Linked DNA regions of Mus musculus. The protein of the gene in region 1 purifies or fractionates together with the protein of each later gene. This does not show direct contact. Links are inferred from orthologs where the notes say so. Each region holds a gene or a part of one and is shown on either strand. Other genes may lie near its edges.

Evidence for each region. Proteins that work in one complex are often made in the same cells at the same time.
Region 2: the proteins of Snrpa (region 1) and Rnps1 purify together in Homo sapiens (co-immunoprecipitation; 4 studies listed by BioGRID and IntAct, with this or other methods). This does not show direct contact. The link is inferred for Mus musculus from reciprocal best matches to the Homo sapiens genes SNRPA and RNPS1.
Region 3: the proteins of Snrpa (region 1) and Prpf19 fractionate together in Homo sapiens (co-fractionation; 3 studies listed by BioGRID and IntAct, with this or other methods). This does not show direct contact. The link is inferred for Mus musculus from reciprocal best matches to the Homo sapiens genes SNRPA and PRPF19.
Region 4: the proteins of Snrpa (region 1) and Sf3a1 fractionate together in Homo sapiens (co-fractionation; 3 studies listed by BioGRID and IntAct, with this or other methods). This does not show direct contact. The link is inferred for Mus musculus from reciprocal best matches to the Homo sapiens genes SNRPA and SF3A1.

What each region holds. Positions count from the first base shown.
Region 1 is NC_000073.6:27,193,470-27,197,692, reverse strand, and holds the start of Snrpa (U1 small nuclear ribonucleoprotein A), read left to right. Parts: upstream 1-1,421; 5' UTR 1,422-1,702; exon of another isoform or gene 1,703-1,912; intron 1,913-1,932; exon of another isoform or gene 1,933-2,136; 5' UTR 2,137-2,158; coding exon 2,159-2,249; intron 2,250-4,223. Other genes in the region: BC024978 (UPF0692 protein C19orf54 homolog), read right to left, coding at 327-679. UniProt on the Homo sapiens protein: Component of the spliceosomal U1 snRNP, which is essential for recognition of the pre-mRNA 5' splice-site and the subsequent assembly of the spliceosome. U1 snRNP is the first snRNP to interact with pre-mRNA.
Region 2 is NC_000083.6:24,417,674-24,421,189, forward strand, and holds part of Rnps1 (RNA-binding protein with serine-rich domain 1), read left to right. Parts: intron 1-364; 5' UTR 365-474; coding exon 475-545; intron 546-783; coding exon 784-939; intron 940-2,532; coding exon 2,533-2,724; intron 2,725-3,516. UniProt on the Homo sapiens protein: Part of pre- and post-splicing multiprotein mRNP complexes. Auxiliary component of the splicing-dependent multiprotein exon junction complex (EJC) deposited at splice junction on mRNAs.
Region 3 is NC_000085.6:10,898,230-10,901,745, forward strand, and holds part of Prpf19 (pre-mRNA-processing factor 19), read left to right. Parts: intron 1-415; exon of another isoform or gene 416-530; intron 531-696; coding exon of another isoform or gene 697-753; coding exon 754-895; intron 896-975; coding exon 976-1,049; intron 1,050-1,140; coding exon 1,141-1,203; intron 1,204-1,945; coding exon 1,946-1,987; intron 1,988-2,094; coding exon 2,095-2,169; intron 2,170-2,460; coding exon 2,461-2,536; intron 2,537-2,697; coding exon 2,698-2,807; intron 2,808-3,516. UniProt on the Homo sapiens protein: Ubiquitin-protein ligase which is a core component of several complexes mainly involved pre-mRNA splicing and DNA repair. Required for pre-mRNA splicing as component of the spliceosome.
Region 4 is NC_000077.6:4,177,353-4,180,212, forward strand, and holds part of Sf3a1 (splicing factor 3A subunit 1), read left to right. Parts: intron 1-60; coding exon 61-268; intron 269-718; coding exon 719-873; intron 874-1,788; coding exon 1,789-1,890; intron 1,891-2,001; coding exon 2,002-2,073; intron 2,074-2,681; coding exon 2,682-2,783; 3' UTR 2,784-2,860. UniProt on the Homo sapiens protein: Component of the 17S U2 SnRNP complex of the spliceosome, a large ribonucleoprotein complex that removes introns from transcribed pre-mRNAs.

The DNA of each region.
Region 1 (4,223 bases):
CTGGCCTGCATAACGTGCTCACTAGCATTTGTAGCTGCTTCGATTCTAGAAGCCAACACTGAGATCTGTCCTTGGGCTCCATTATCACAACTCTGGCTACTCTGGAGTCACTGTCTGGAGGCACAGAACCACTGGCTTCTGTGTCAAAGCCAGGCCCGAGCAGAAGCTGTTCTCTCTATTGCTGGAAGCTAACTAAGTAGGGTACTTAAGGCATCTGGCTGTTTGAGATCAAGGAAGTGGGACCGCAAAGAGCAGGGTGGCTGTGGTGACTTGTAATCAGGTGATTGTCTGAGATCTGGGCTGGTTTTGGGGGCTGGAGACCCTACCGGTCCTTGTGCAGCTTCAGGAGCCTCTTCACATCCTCTTTGCCTTTGGGGGCTGGGCCAGCCTTCTCTAAGGCCTCCTTCAGGAGCTGGCTGTTCTTCAGGCCATAGACATGAGGGAGAACAGGCTCCACAGCAGAGGGTAGAGGGGGAGGGGGAGGGGGAGGGGGAGGAGCAGGAGGGGGGGGAGGGGGCGGCAGTGGGGATGAAATAGATGTATGGAGACTACAAGGAGGGGATGGTAAAGCTAGGTCCGGGGGATTTAGAGGTAAAGGAGGTGGAATGTTGGTGTCTGGGGTCTCATGAATTATTGGAGAGATTGTGGGTTTTAGGGGGAAAGAGCATGGAGAAGTCATTTGGGGTCTACAGGAAGAATAAGAGGCTCTCCCCAAATCTCCCAAGGATGGAGATTTTCAGTTTTTAAAGGAACTGGATGAGAGATATTCAGGCCTGCACATTGAGATCTGTAAAAAAAAAAAAAAAAAAAATTAAAACTGGAGTTGATAGCAGAATATGGTGTCTGGCCAGTTGTTCTGGGAGAACCTGGGCTAGTATTTGAAACAGTGGAAAGAGAAACTGGGCTAAATCAAATGCTGAAGGATCCCGAAGGGTGGTCTGTGCTATGGGGCTGGGGCTACATTAGAAGGGACATTTTGTAGGTGTCATCTCATCTGCTGTAGCTAAGCTAGTTTTGGTCACTTCTGTTATTCGGAGGTTCAGATCTGTTGTGAGGTGTCTAAAGGATGTGACTTGCCTACTTTTTGCATTGCGGGCCTGAGTTTGAAACCTTGACTTTACGAGCTAGGGTTAAGAGGTTACAAAAAAGGCACGTGGGTGAGAAAACAGCCTAATGGTGGGCGGGTCATGGGCTTAGCGGGGAAGTATGAGAGTCGCAGCAACTCAGCGATCAAAGGCCAACTAAGTTGGTATAAACCTATCAATTTAGGAACTTAGGAATCTGCACAAGCGCCTCCCCAGGAGGAAATGACGTCACCCGGCCAGCCTCCACCTGTCCTTTCCCATCCCACGTGATAGAACTCGCAACCAGCACAACGCTCTTGAAGGTCACGTGATACTGGCGGAAGGGGAAGAGGTGTGGCTTCCGAAAGGCAGTCTTAGAATGCACCAGAGCTCTAACCATGTCCCAATTGGCCAGAAGCTCGTGCCCTTCTTTGATTGGTCCGTTCCCTCGCGTCCAGGGGGCGGGACCCCAAGTGTTCCTTTGGCAGACGCTGAGGCCGGGGGAGAGACTCTGAACTTACCGAGTTTGCCCGCCGTGATTAGCTCGCGGAAGGGAGAAGCCGTTGCCGGGGAAGATAGTTGTGTGTCTGTGCAGCGTAGCTCGGCGGGCGTTGTCGGCGGGAGCGACGGCTCAGGTGGTGGGTTCCCGCGGGTTGTAGACGCTGCTCGGCGCCGGGGAGGCGGGTGGAGCACTTCGGGAGGCCTCTCTTTGAGAGACTAGGATGTTCCAAGTCGGCCCCTACTTTCTTAACTGGCTCCGACATCCGGGGTCTTTTTTCCTCCCGGGACGCCTTTCGCGCACGTGGACTAATGGGAAGCGCCGCTCGGTGTGCTCCGCCTGCCGGGACTCGTAGAGCATTCTGGGATTCGTAGTTAACCTCTCTAGCTCTCCCTTAGCACGCGGGTTGGAGAAGCGGGGGCCTGTGCTGGCTTTGTTGCTAAGCTGTGACATCCTCTTCCAATTCCGGTCTTACTCGACTTCCTCTTGGAAGGGCGATCCCTGAGCATCAGCCCTTTGGAACAAAGAATTTGGGAAACTTAGGGCTAAAGTCGCTTTTTCCTCCTCTTTAAGCCGTACCTGAACATCTCACACCATGGCCACCATAGCCACCATGCCAGTTCCCGAGACCCGTGCCAACCACACTATTTATATCAACAATCTCAATGAGAAGATCAAGAAGGATGGTGAGTTCTTGGGGTAGCCTGACTCAAGGTGATATCACAAGAGTTGACCCCTTTTCACCTCTAGCATCCACATTTCTTTTTCAGCCTTCCCCATTCTGTCTGTTAGGAGTTAACTTTGGCCTTTGTACCTACTGGTTCCTTGGTTTCACCCTAGGTTTTACACTCTGCCCTTTAATCTGCGCATTGTTAGTGATCTTCCAGGTTTTAGCTCATAGGTCCCTTCTTCCTTTGAAGCCTTCCAGGATCGTTCTTGCCATCAGTCTGCTTTCATGAGACTGTCTCTGTCCACTGACCTCTGGGTGGTGGCCTCAGTGATTGACTACAATGCAGATGACACACAGGAGGGATGGGCAATGGATGGCTTTGTGATGTGGGTGATTGTGCCGCGTTCTAAGTCTTGACTGTCTTTAATTCTCACAAGCCTCTCAGATTAAGTAGTTGGAATTTGGGTGGCATAACTTGCCTGGGATCAAATAGCAAGAAAAATGAGACAGAAATGTGGGGTTCTGCTTAAGCAGATTCTTAGACTGGGCTGGTTGGCAGAGGCTGTAATTCTGTTCTTCAGGAAGAGTGAAAGTTTGAAACCATTTGGGACAACATGGCCAAAGCAGATAAAAAAGAAACCAAAGACAAACGGTTTCTTTTAGGGTGTGGAGGTACAGGGCTGTAATCCCAGTACTCAGGAGACTGAGGCAGGAGGAGCTTGAGTTCCAGACCAGCTGAGGCGACATAGCAAGACCCAGTGTCCAAAAGGTTTGAGGAATGTAGCTAGTGTTAGTCTTGCCTAGCAGGAGTAAGGATCTGGGTTCAAATCTCAGCAACTAAGAAAATCAGCATGGCCTGGAGAGAGCTCTGTGGTTAAAGAATGCTGCCTGATCTAACAGAGGATCTGGTTTTGATTCCTTGCCTCCAGGGAGGTTCGTAACTGTGTGTGTCTCCAGTTCCAGGGGATACGACATCCTCCTCTGGCTTCTGCAGGCAAAAAAAAAAAAAAAAAAATCCACACATAAAATTTTTTTTTTTTAAGATTCTTTTTAAATAGAAATCCCTACCAAATAATTCAGTTCTTGTCTGGAAGTAAGGCCCATAGTTAGAAAGTTTCTGCAAAGACTGAATCCCGGCACACATTTTTAAAAAAGTAAACACAAATGACTATTTTTATGTATTTATTTTGTGTGCATCTATAAATGGATGCATGAGGGTGGTCAGGACCCCTCTAGAGAAGCCTTTGTCTTTCAGCTGTTGAGTTCCTGAGATCATATTCAGGTCGTGAAGGCTTGTGAAGTGGATGGATGCTCTACTGCCCTTGCACTGGCCCCTTGGTGCATTGCTTTGTGGAAGTAATTCAGAAGTTAAGGAAGGGTAAATACTGGTTCTTATGACCAACTGGAGAAAAGTGTCGTGGGAGGACTGGGAAATGACTCAGCTGGTACGCATGCTTGCCTGTAAGCCTGACTTCCCAGGTCCCACTGTGATTGACTTCAGGTACCTGGTGCTCCTGCCTCAGGCTCCTGAGGGTTGGGATTCTCGGGTGGGGCCAGCATGTCCAACTGACAGGCTTGTAGCTGTTAGTGGTGGTCGGTAAGTGGACTTGTGATGTCAGCAGGAGACAGGGTAAGAAGAGGGCCATAAGGGGACATCTGGACAGTGAAGTTGGAGAGAGCTTCCTGCAGGGAGGCTGCAGATTTATGCTGAGACTTAAGTGGCTAGAGGGGCAGTCATGGAGATGTCAGGAGAAGGGCATTCAGTGAAGAGTACAACGGCTGAGGTGTGGCGGACACTAGGAGGCCGTGCTTGTGAGTCAGACTGAGACAGGAGAATTGTTGACAGTTTCAGGCTATAGAATGGGATCCTACCTTGAATAAACAAGTGAAGGAAGGAAGGAATCGATGGCATGTCAGGCTTAAAGGCCTGGAAGGTTAGCTTAAGAGTGAAAAGAAGTGTTTGTTATTTGAACAGCAAGTTTGTAGTAGG
Region 2 (3,516 bases), on another chromosome or scaffold:
ACAGGTGGCTGGTTCATCATCAAACTTGGTGAACTCTAGTGTGGGACAGGCCCTAAAAAACCAAATGTAGCTACAATTACCTCTCCCACTTCATTAAGGAAAACAAAGAAGAATCTTAATATGCCTGTACCTTAGACATGTAATACATTTTGCCTTTCTTTCTCAAATAAAAAACCTAAGGTGGCCTCTAAGAGTAGGAAAGGCCTCCATGGCGCGCTAATGAGGGCCCTGGGTGTCAAGGCTGTGTGGACACTTGCTGTTTGCTGTGCTTCTGTCCTGTGTGCTCAACGGTCTTTGATGCAAAATAGAGTTGATGCTTTGTCAATTGGTTTGCTCTATTTCAATCCTTTTATCTTGTTACTAGGCTGCTCTTTGGCGTAAATTGCAATCGATTAGGGATCGTTTCTCAGACTCAAGTTAGAAGTGAGAGTTCAGATAAGTGAGGCCGACATTGCTGCCTTGAAGAAGGGGAGAATGGATTTATCAGGAGTGAAAAAGAAGAGCTTGCTAGGAGTCAAAGAGAATAATAAAAAGTCCAGCACTAGGTAATCCTCTGTAAGATTTTTTTCTAGTGCTATTTTGGGGGTGCTTGCTGTTTAAGGACCCTAGGAAAGGGGAGATTTTTGTTGTTGTTGTTCTACAGTGCGTGCCCTAATTCACAGATGATTTTGCTCTGTGATCACCTGGGATGTTAGTAATCCTTTTGGACCGCACTACTGGGTTGTGCTATCTCAGGGTTTGGTCAGAAGGGCTTGCAACCTCACATTCTATCTTATCATGCAGGGCTCCTTCTCCTACCAAACGCAAGGACCGATCTGATGAGAAGTCCAAGGATCGATCTAAAGATAAAGGGGCCACTAAAGAGTCAAGTGAGAAGGATCGTGGCAGAGATAAGACTCGGAAGAGACGCAGTGCTTCAAGCGGAAGCAGCAGTACCAGGTGGGGCAGAGGGAACCATGTCTTCCTTCACTGTGAAGCCCTCCAAGAACTTCTTTGGGGGAAAGGGGTGACACGTGTGTGTTGTGAAGGCCAAAAGTATGTTAAATTTCTTCCTTTGGGGAGGTGTGAAGGCCATCTGCTCTTCCATGTTCCCACAAACAAACAAACCTAGGTCCAGTTCAGCAAAGTTCACTCTAGGAAATCAGTGAGTTTACCAGGCTTCCAGTGCAGTGGGTGAAGGATAATTGGCAGGAATGTGGGTGGTAACTGCCCTGTGAATGTTCCCTCCCCACAGTCCCCTACTTAAAGCCTTTGCCTGAGACCTGAGGACCTGTGCAAATAGGGCAGAATTACAACTGGTTTGGAGGGGTGGCTGGATACTCCAGTGAGGGTCCCTTGACCCTGTCCCTTCCAAGAGAGACAAGCCCAGTGTGATGATCGTTAGTGAGCAAGCCCAGTTGAAGTGAGAATGACAGCAACTTTTCTGCGAGGGTAGTCCTGTATGTGTGGCTCCCTAAGAGCTGTCTGCCTAGCTTTTCCATACAGGATTTCATTGCTTCCTGCAGCTTGCCAATTGAATTGAGCTGGTTGCCCAAGGGAAGACTACGTTGTCTTAACTACATTGAAAACAGACCCTAGAGTTGTTGATAAGACCCTAATATAGCATGCAGGTTTTGTTTCATTATATATGTTATGTGGTCTTGCTGTGTAATGTGTGTTTGTGGATATAAACTCTCCTATGATACTAAAGTGTGATGTTTGGATAATGGATGAATTGTTTCTCTTGCAAGTATGTATTCATCCTGAAATGAGAATGACTGGCTTCAGGCTGGAGCCTTTTTTTTTTTTTTTAAACTGTGTTTATACATGCATACCATGTGTGTGCCTGGTTGTCACACAGGCCAGAAAGGTGCATTGGGTCCCCAGAAACTAGAGTCACAGGCAGTTGTGAGCTGCCATGTGGGTGCTAGAAACCAAACCTGGTTCCTCTTACCTGCAGAGACATTTTTCAGCTCCCAGTCTGCTCCTTTTTTTATTTAAGATGTATTTATTTTTATGTTATTTATGTATTTATTTTAATGTGCACGGTCACTGTCTTCAGACACACCAGAAGAGGTCATCAGATCCCATTGTGGATGTTTGTGGGCCACCATGTAGTTGCTGGGAATTGAACTTAGGACCTTGGAAGAACTGTTAGTGCTCTTAAACTCTGAGCCATCTCTGCAGCCCCTCTTTCTTTTTATTTTTAAGTTGAAAACCTGCCTGAATTGGTCTTCAGCCCTGTTGATCTGATTTTTGCTAGGCTGCTGCTTTTTCCTCATTGGTAAAAATAAGGATTCTGTGTAGGTAACAACAGCCCATCTCATACGGTGTTGGGACTTGTCAGATGTCATTACTGGTGAAATGGGGCTTAAGCAGGAAAGCACCGGGCAGTGGTGGCGTATGCCTTTAGTCTTAGTGCTTAGGAGGCAGAGGCGGGCAGATTTCTGAGTAAGAACCAGGAGAGCGATATCCTCTACTGAGCAGTCAGTCTTCTGTGCAGAAATAGGACTCTTGCTCATTGACTCTGTGACACCCCCACCTTGTCCTCAGGTCTAGGTCCAGCTCCACCTCCAGCTCGGGCTCCAGCACCAGCACAGGCTCAAGCAGTGGCTCCAGCTCGTCCTCTGCATCCAGCCGCTCAGGAAGCTCCAGCACGTCCCGGAGCTCCAGTTCTAGCAGCTCCTCCGGCTCCCCAAGCCCTTCTCGGCGCAGGCATGACAACAGGCGGCGCTCCCGCTCCAAGTGAGTTCAGAATGGCTAGCCTGCTCATTACAGTAGTTACTAGAAAAGTAGTTTGGGCTGACAAGATGGCTCAGCAGGTAAAGGTCTTTGCTGCCAAGCTTAACAGCCTGGGTTTAATTCCCGGGACCCACATGGTGGCATGTGATAACTCCCGTGGTTTGTCCTTTAACCTCCAATGTGCACAGTGACACACAAGTGAGGGGAAGTGCAGTGGTACATGCACATGTATTTGTACCAGGATAGTCGGAAATTTGAGGTCATGGTGGGCTGCGTGTGAGCCTGTCTCAAAAAGACACGAGAGCCAGGCGTGGTGGCGCACGCCTTTAATCCCAGCACTCGGGAGGCAGAGGCAGGCAGATTTCTGAGTTCAAGGCCAACCTGATCTACAGAGTGAGTTCCAGGACAGCCAGGGCTATACAGAGAAACCCTGTCCCGAAAAACAAAACAAACAAACAAAAAGACATGAAAGAAAGTGAATAAAAGTTAGAGGGTGGGCAGGATGTCTGAGTCAGTGAGGGTGCTCGCTGCCCAGCCCATCAACCAGACTGCCCTTCCCCGGAATACACAAGGCAGGAGCTGAGAAGGGCATCTCCCACAAGTTAGTCTCTAACTCTATGTGTGTTGCCCTGGTGCATGCCCCACAGAAGTAAAATAGACACAGATTTGAAGGGGTCTTAGTTTGGTTTCTGAATCAGGGATGATAGTCTTAGTGATCTGTTTCTGTGAAAAGACACCATGACCAAGGCAATTCTTATAAAGGATTGGGGCAGGCTTACAGTTTCAGAGGTCCAT
Region 3 (3,516 bases), on another chromosome or scaffold:
ATTCCTGGACTCTCTCAACTCTCTGCAGGCCCTCTTATTGCCTTGAGATAGGACGTTGCTTTGTGGCCTCCACTGCTCTGCAACTTGTGGTCCTTTTGCCTCAGCCTTCTAGTGCTAGGATTATAAGTGCCAACCACCAGGCCTGACTCTTGGGGTGATGAACACAGGGGTAATGTAGTCCCTGGGCCACTGAGCAGCCCCTCATTTTGTGCCAGCCTTACTTATTTCATTTGTGAGGAACAAGATGCCAATACAAGAGGAGCCTGGTTGCTGGAACTCTTGCAGACCTAGATTCCAAAGTTTTCTCCAGAGTCAGCCTTTATGACTTAGGACACTCATTAGTCCTGTCTATCTGGATTCTGTAAGAAGTAGAATACAATGGACATATTTGCTTTGTGACATCAGGGACTTTTTCATTACTGGGCTCTGCATTTGCTGAGGGTAGCCAGTAAATAACCACAGCAGTGTAGTTATTGCCTTTCAGAGAGGTGATGACATTAATACCCGTGATGTGCTGGTGAATAGCAAAGGTGGGGGTGGGAAGGAGCTATCCCACTCTGTGTTTGTCCAGAGTATAGTGTGGGTAGGAGCCTGAATGCCGTACAGGGCATTCAGGGTCACTCAGAGTTGGCTTGGGTCTCTGAATAGTTCAGGTTGGTTTCAGTGTAGAATAGGAGGTGGTGTCCTCTTCTCTAGGGTTGGCCGAATTCTCCGGCTCTCCCCCAGTCCTCACAGTGGCCTACCCTCTCCCAGGATGCAGTCATGCTGCACAGCTTCACTCTTCGCCAGCAACTGCAGACAACCCGCCAGGAGCTGTCCCATGCTCTGTACCAACACGATGCTGCCTGCCGAGTCATTGCCCGGCTCACCAAAGAGGTCACTGCTGCTCGAGAAGGTCTCTTGTATTCCCTGCTGCTCCCCATCTTCTGGCCCTGCTTTGTAATGTCCCTTTTCTAACATCATCTTTTCTCTCAGCTCTGGCTACTCTGAAACCACAGGCTGGGCTTATTGTACCTCAGGCTGTGCCAAGCTCACAGCCCAGTGTTGTGGTAAGTGTTCCCTTCCGGGCCCCAGTAGCTGTCCCTTCACAGAAGTTTTTGGTGTTGTGAGCCCCTCCCACTCTCCCTTTCTTTTCTGCAGGGTGCAGGAGAGCCCATGGATTTGGGTGAGCTGGTGGGAATGACCCCTGAGATTATCCAGAAGGTGAGTCATGTGCACCTCTGATGGGACTGCAGTCCCCCCATTAGTACCACAGGCATTGGGGGCCCTTAAGAATCTCTCACGATGGGCAATGTGGGAGCCTGCACTGCCAATCGAGAGCTTTCTGATGAAGCTTACTTTAGTCTGGCTTTCTATGTCTCATTTCCCTGGCTTCTGAGTAGAATGAGGTGTGTGTACTTCACAGGCTTGTTGTGGGAAAGATTTCATTACTGATTAGGGCAGTTTTTAGCTCTTGCGGTGATTACGATCTTTGTTGATATTAAGCCATTTTGTTACAGATTTTGAAGGTTTTGCCTTAGAATAAGAGTTATCTTCAGATGAGGAGTCAGAAGTGGCAAGTCAAGACAGCTGAGAAGAGGCAGAGCAGGCTTCCAGACTGTAACTCAGGGTTCTGTTGAATGTAGTCTTCATTTGTGAGTCCAGCGGAATATGAGCAGCTCATCTGAGCGCTCAGGCTTATAGCCTCGACCAGCACCACAGCTTAGTTCCCGTCCCTACCCATTCTGGCAAGGGAGTTCTTTTAACTTTCATTTTTCTCAGCTGTACCATAAGGTCATAGATATATGACCTTATAAGATCAGGATGGAAATGTGTCAGCTGTTATCCCATAGCTTGGCAGATAGCATTTTTTGATGATGCTTATAATACCAGATGTGACTAGCACCCAGTATGCTTTGTTCTTACAAAATTATTTTTCTCACAAAATTATTTATGTTCTCCACAGCTTCAAGACAAGGCTACTGTGCTAACCACGGAGCGTAAGAAGGTGAGTTGTTGCCTGCTGTGAACACTTGCGTTTTTGGAGAAAGGTCTAGTTGAAGCCCGCTTTCATTGCTGTTCTTTGGGGTTTTTTGTTTTGTTTTGTTTTCTTAGAGAGGAAAGACTGTCCCCGAGGAGCTGGTGAAACCTGAAGAGCTCAGCAAGTACCGGCAGGTGGCATCCCATGTGGTAAGTGGCTGGAGGGGCCCTACTGTTTCTAGGACAAGATGGACGGAGGAGTCATGGGAAATGCTTCTCAGGTCTCTGGCACGTTGTCTCGACTTGGCTGCTCTTCTGTCCTGCCATGCAGTGGGGGAATTGGTGCATCCAGGCAGCCAGCCAAGCTGGATGGATAAGGGATAGGATTCACTCTCGTTTCCTGGCTGGAGAGGAATATGGGGGGTGTGGGCAAGGGGAGTGGAGGAGCTGTGAGGCTTGGATTGGGCTGTGATTGGGTTTCATGTGGCTCTTTCTGCAAAGGGTCTACACAGTGCTAGCATTCCTGGGATTCTCGCTCTGGACCTGTGTCCCTCAGACACCAACAAGATTCTCACTGGTGAGTCTAGGCCTGACCTGACAGTCAAAATGAGGGATGGCAGGACCCAGGGAAGGGACAGGCCCTTGATTCTCTGCATGGATTTAAGGACAGAAAGACCTTCTGTAGTCCAGGGTACTTAAAAGCCTGGCTCATTTTTGTCTTCTTTGGATCTTCTCCAGGTGGGGCAGATAAAAATGTTGTTGTCTTTGATAAGAGTACTGAGCAAATATTGGCCACTCTCAAAGGCCATACCAAGAAGGTCACCAGTGTGGTGTTTCATCCTTCTCAGGTAAGGCACTCTCGAAGTCACCCTTGTCTTTTTCTAAGTCCAGTTCCAGTGGTTTTGAGTCTCGGAACTAATTGCCCAACCCCTAGTGTTTTGGTGAAACAGGCATTGATGGTCTCCATGATCACCCCCATAACAGTGGTTCTCAAACCAGGGAGAAAGTAAATGGCACCAACAAGCACCCTCGAGTGTTTATAGGTACAGTACAGATGGCCCAGCTCCATGTAGTCTGACTGCCAGGTGCCTACTCCCGTGACCTTACGGGGTTAGCCTAAAAACTTAATGTTGACTATTGAAAGTTGTGGGAGTTCAAATAGATGAGAACCCTTGGCTTAGAGGATAAAGGTAGCTTAGTAGATGAGATTAATGGCTTCATAAGATTTGAGCCAAGAATACTGTGGCTTGGTATGCTGCTGCCTCTGGTGCTGGAGCAGTGCCTCCCAGTTAGTCTATCTCTTTAGGAGTTAGGAAACTCATAAATAGAGGAGTATATATGTTTTGGTCAGTGTTCTGTTGCTGCAAAGAGACACCATGACCATGGCAACTTTTATAAGAGAAACCATTTAATTGGGTGAGTCCATTATCATGGCAGGGAGTATGGTGGCAAGCATGGCACTGGAACAGTAGCTGAGAGCTGTATCCTTATCTGAAAGGAGACAGATAGACAGATAGATACATGTGTGCACACAGACAAACATAGGTGACGTACTTC
Region 4 (2,860 bases), on another chromosome or scaffold:
GTGTGTTCTTGAAGCTGAGCCTTGGCTTCCTGTGGCTTATGTGTCTCCTCCTACCCTCAGATGCCACCTCCAGTCCGCACCACTGTTGTATCTGCAGTACCTGTCATGCCTCGGCCACCCATGGCATCTGTGGTCCGGCTGCCCCCAGGCTCAGTGATTGCCCCCATGCCACCCATCATCCACGCACCCAGGATCAATGTGGTACCTATGCCTCCTGCAGCACCTCCCATCATGGCGCCCCGCCCACCTCCCATGATTGTGCCAACAGGTCGGTGTGTAGTGTTGCTTTCTCATCTCATGGGTTAGTCCATAAAGCTGTGGTTAGCCTTAATGATGGCTGTTCCCACTGAGTATCCATCCCAGAGGAAGTCTCAACTGGGACCTGGGAGCCATATTTCTTGTGAGAGACAAGAGACTGAGATGGCATAGCTAGTGTGTCTACATTTGGTGGTCGGGTCCTTGACAGGTCCAGAAGCCTGACAATAACTATTTTTTGGCTGACCTTGCACTGCCTCCCCTTTCCTGCTGCCTAATTCGGGCAGCCTCCCAAGGCTCCCTGCCAGGGAATGTGCTGAGTGACAGACTCATCAAGGCATGGCACTTCACACCTCTTACAGAGCAAAGCCTCGAAATCACCCGGCAAAATCTCCCTAGTCCTGCCTCTTGGGCCTCTTCACCTCTTCTGTACTCACTAGGCAACTGTTCCTTGTCCTTGCAGCCTTTGTGCCTGCCCCACCTGTGGCTCCAGTCCCAGCCCCAGCTCCAATGCCTCCTGTACACCCCCCACCTCCTATGGAGGATGAGCCTCCATCCAAGAAACTAAAGACCGAGGACAGTCTCATGCCTGAGGAAGAATTCCTGCGCAGGAACAAGGTCTGTGACCCAGGAAACTGCTTGTGCCCTGCAGTATCCGGCAGCAGCATGGGTTACCCAAGCCCCAGTTATGTACTATCCCATGCCTTTAGTTCCTGGGATGTCAGTCAGCCATACGAAGCTTCTGGGGATGTTTGTAATGTGAGGTCAGTAGCTGGGAGCTTGTGGTAGTGTGGACTCCTGTGGAGATGCGGCTGCTAAGACATTATCACAGGAGTGAGGTGACAGATCACTAAACCAGCTCTAGGAAGTCTCGCTCAGCACAGTTATTAAATTCAGATCTCTCTCTCCCTGCTCTGGGAAGGTGCTCATTGGAGTAGGATTCTGCTGGCATTCTGGAATAAGGACTCTATATTGGTACTGGTGGTCTCTGACAAAGCTGTTAGGCTTTGGTGAGAAGGCAGTGACAGTCCCAAGAGATTTGGCCCATAAATTTGACAAACTAGCTAATGTGTGTCTATTCTTTGAACACCTACCAAAGGTTCAGACTATTCTCTTTAGTGTTCCCACCAGTCTGTTTTGACACAGGCAAGCTTAGGTGTCTTGTCTGCTGAGTTTGAAACCAGTACTTCACAGACCATATCTTTACCCTGCTGGTCCTTGAGTTTGCAGAATTCAGTGGAATTTTAAGGAATATTTAAGGAATGGGAATGAAACAGTATGATAATATACACTTACAATCTCAGAACTCTAGAGGCAGGAAGTTTGAGGTCAGCCTAGGCTAGCCCTGACCCCTACCTTTAAGCCTGTCTAGAAAAATAAAGAAGAAATGAAGCCTGTGTAGTGTCACACCTGGTATCAGCAGTAAAGGGGTGAGAGGGGCAGGAGTCGTTGTTTGGATGAGCAACTGATAGCACAGCATAGTTCCTAATTGGCTTGGGGCTTTCCAGACATAATGAGCACTGCATTTTGCAGGGTCCAGTATCCATCAAAGTGCAGGTACCCAACATGCAGGATAAGACGGAATGGAAGCTGAATGGTCAGGGGCTGGTCTTCACTCTCCCACTCACAGACCAGGTATGTTTTGCCACCCCCAGTTGGTACAGGTGCTTTGGAGTCAGTGGGTTGGGTCAGCTTTTTCCAGATGGTCTTAACAAGAGAATGAATGAACTTTCTGTGATCCCACAGGTCTCTGTCATCAAAGTGAAGATTCATGAAGCCACGGGCATGCCTGCGGGGAAACAGAAACTACAGTATGAAGTAAGCAAGGGTCCTGCCCCTTAGGTTCCAATTCCTCTACCATCCCTGAAACAATCTGTAGAAAGTATGATGGAGAGAGACCTGGATGAGGCCATCCTAGAAGTGATCCAGCTGGAATGCGGGGGCAGGTGGACCTAATAGTGCTGGGTTCTGACAGCATAGTATAATTCGGGTCTAAAAGCCTTGGTCTCTGGATGGGGAGCAGACCAGTGATGGGATCTTAGGCAGCCTGGTTGTTTATGGAGGTGCAAAGGGGTATTCAGGTTTTCTGGGGCTTCCTCTCTTCCTGTGTGAAATAGGGTGTTGAAAAAGATAATCACTAAAGGTCTTTTGACCTGAGAAGTCAGCTGTGCCTTTTAGTTTGGTCATGGCTAATGTTTGGGAAGTTGAAAACTAAACCAAATGTTGACAAAGTTCCTTACTTTGCATCTGTTAGAAAGAAGGAAGGAAAAAGAGATGTTCTAGAAGAAGCCAAAGTTCCATACTTCGCTGACCTTCCCTTAAGCTTCCATAGTAGTGAAGTCTAGAATAGCAGTAAGCTCAGTTGTGTGAGGCTGCATGTGGTCAAAGACAGGTGGTGTCCATTAAGACATTTGTCTGTCTTCCAGGGCATCTTCATCAAGGATTCCAACTCCCTGGCTTACTACAACATGGCCAGTGGTGCTGTCATCCACTTGGCCCTCAAGGAGAGAGGCGGCAGGAAGAAGTAGCAAGAGATACTGCAATTGAAACCTTGCCATTGTACCTCTTTGCACCACCAATTCCAGGAGTGTCCCTGGGGCCTCAG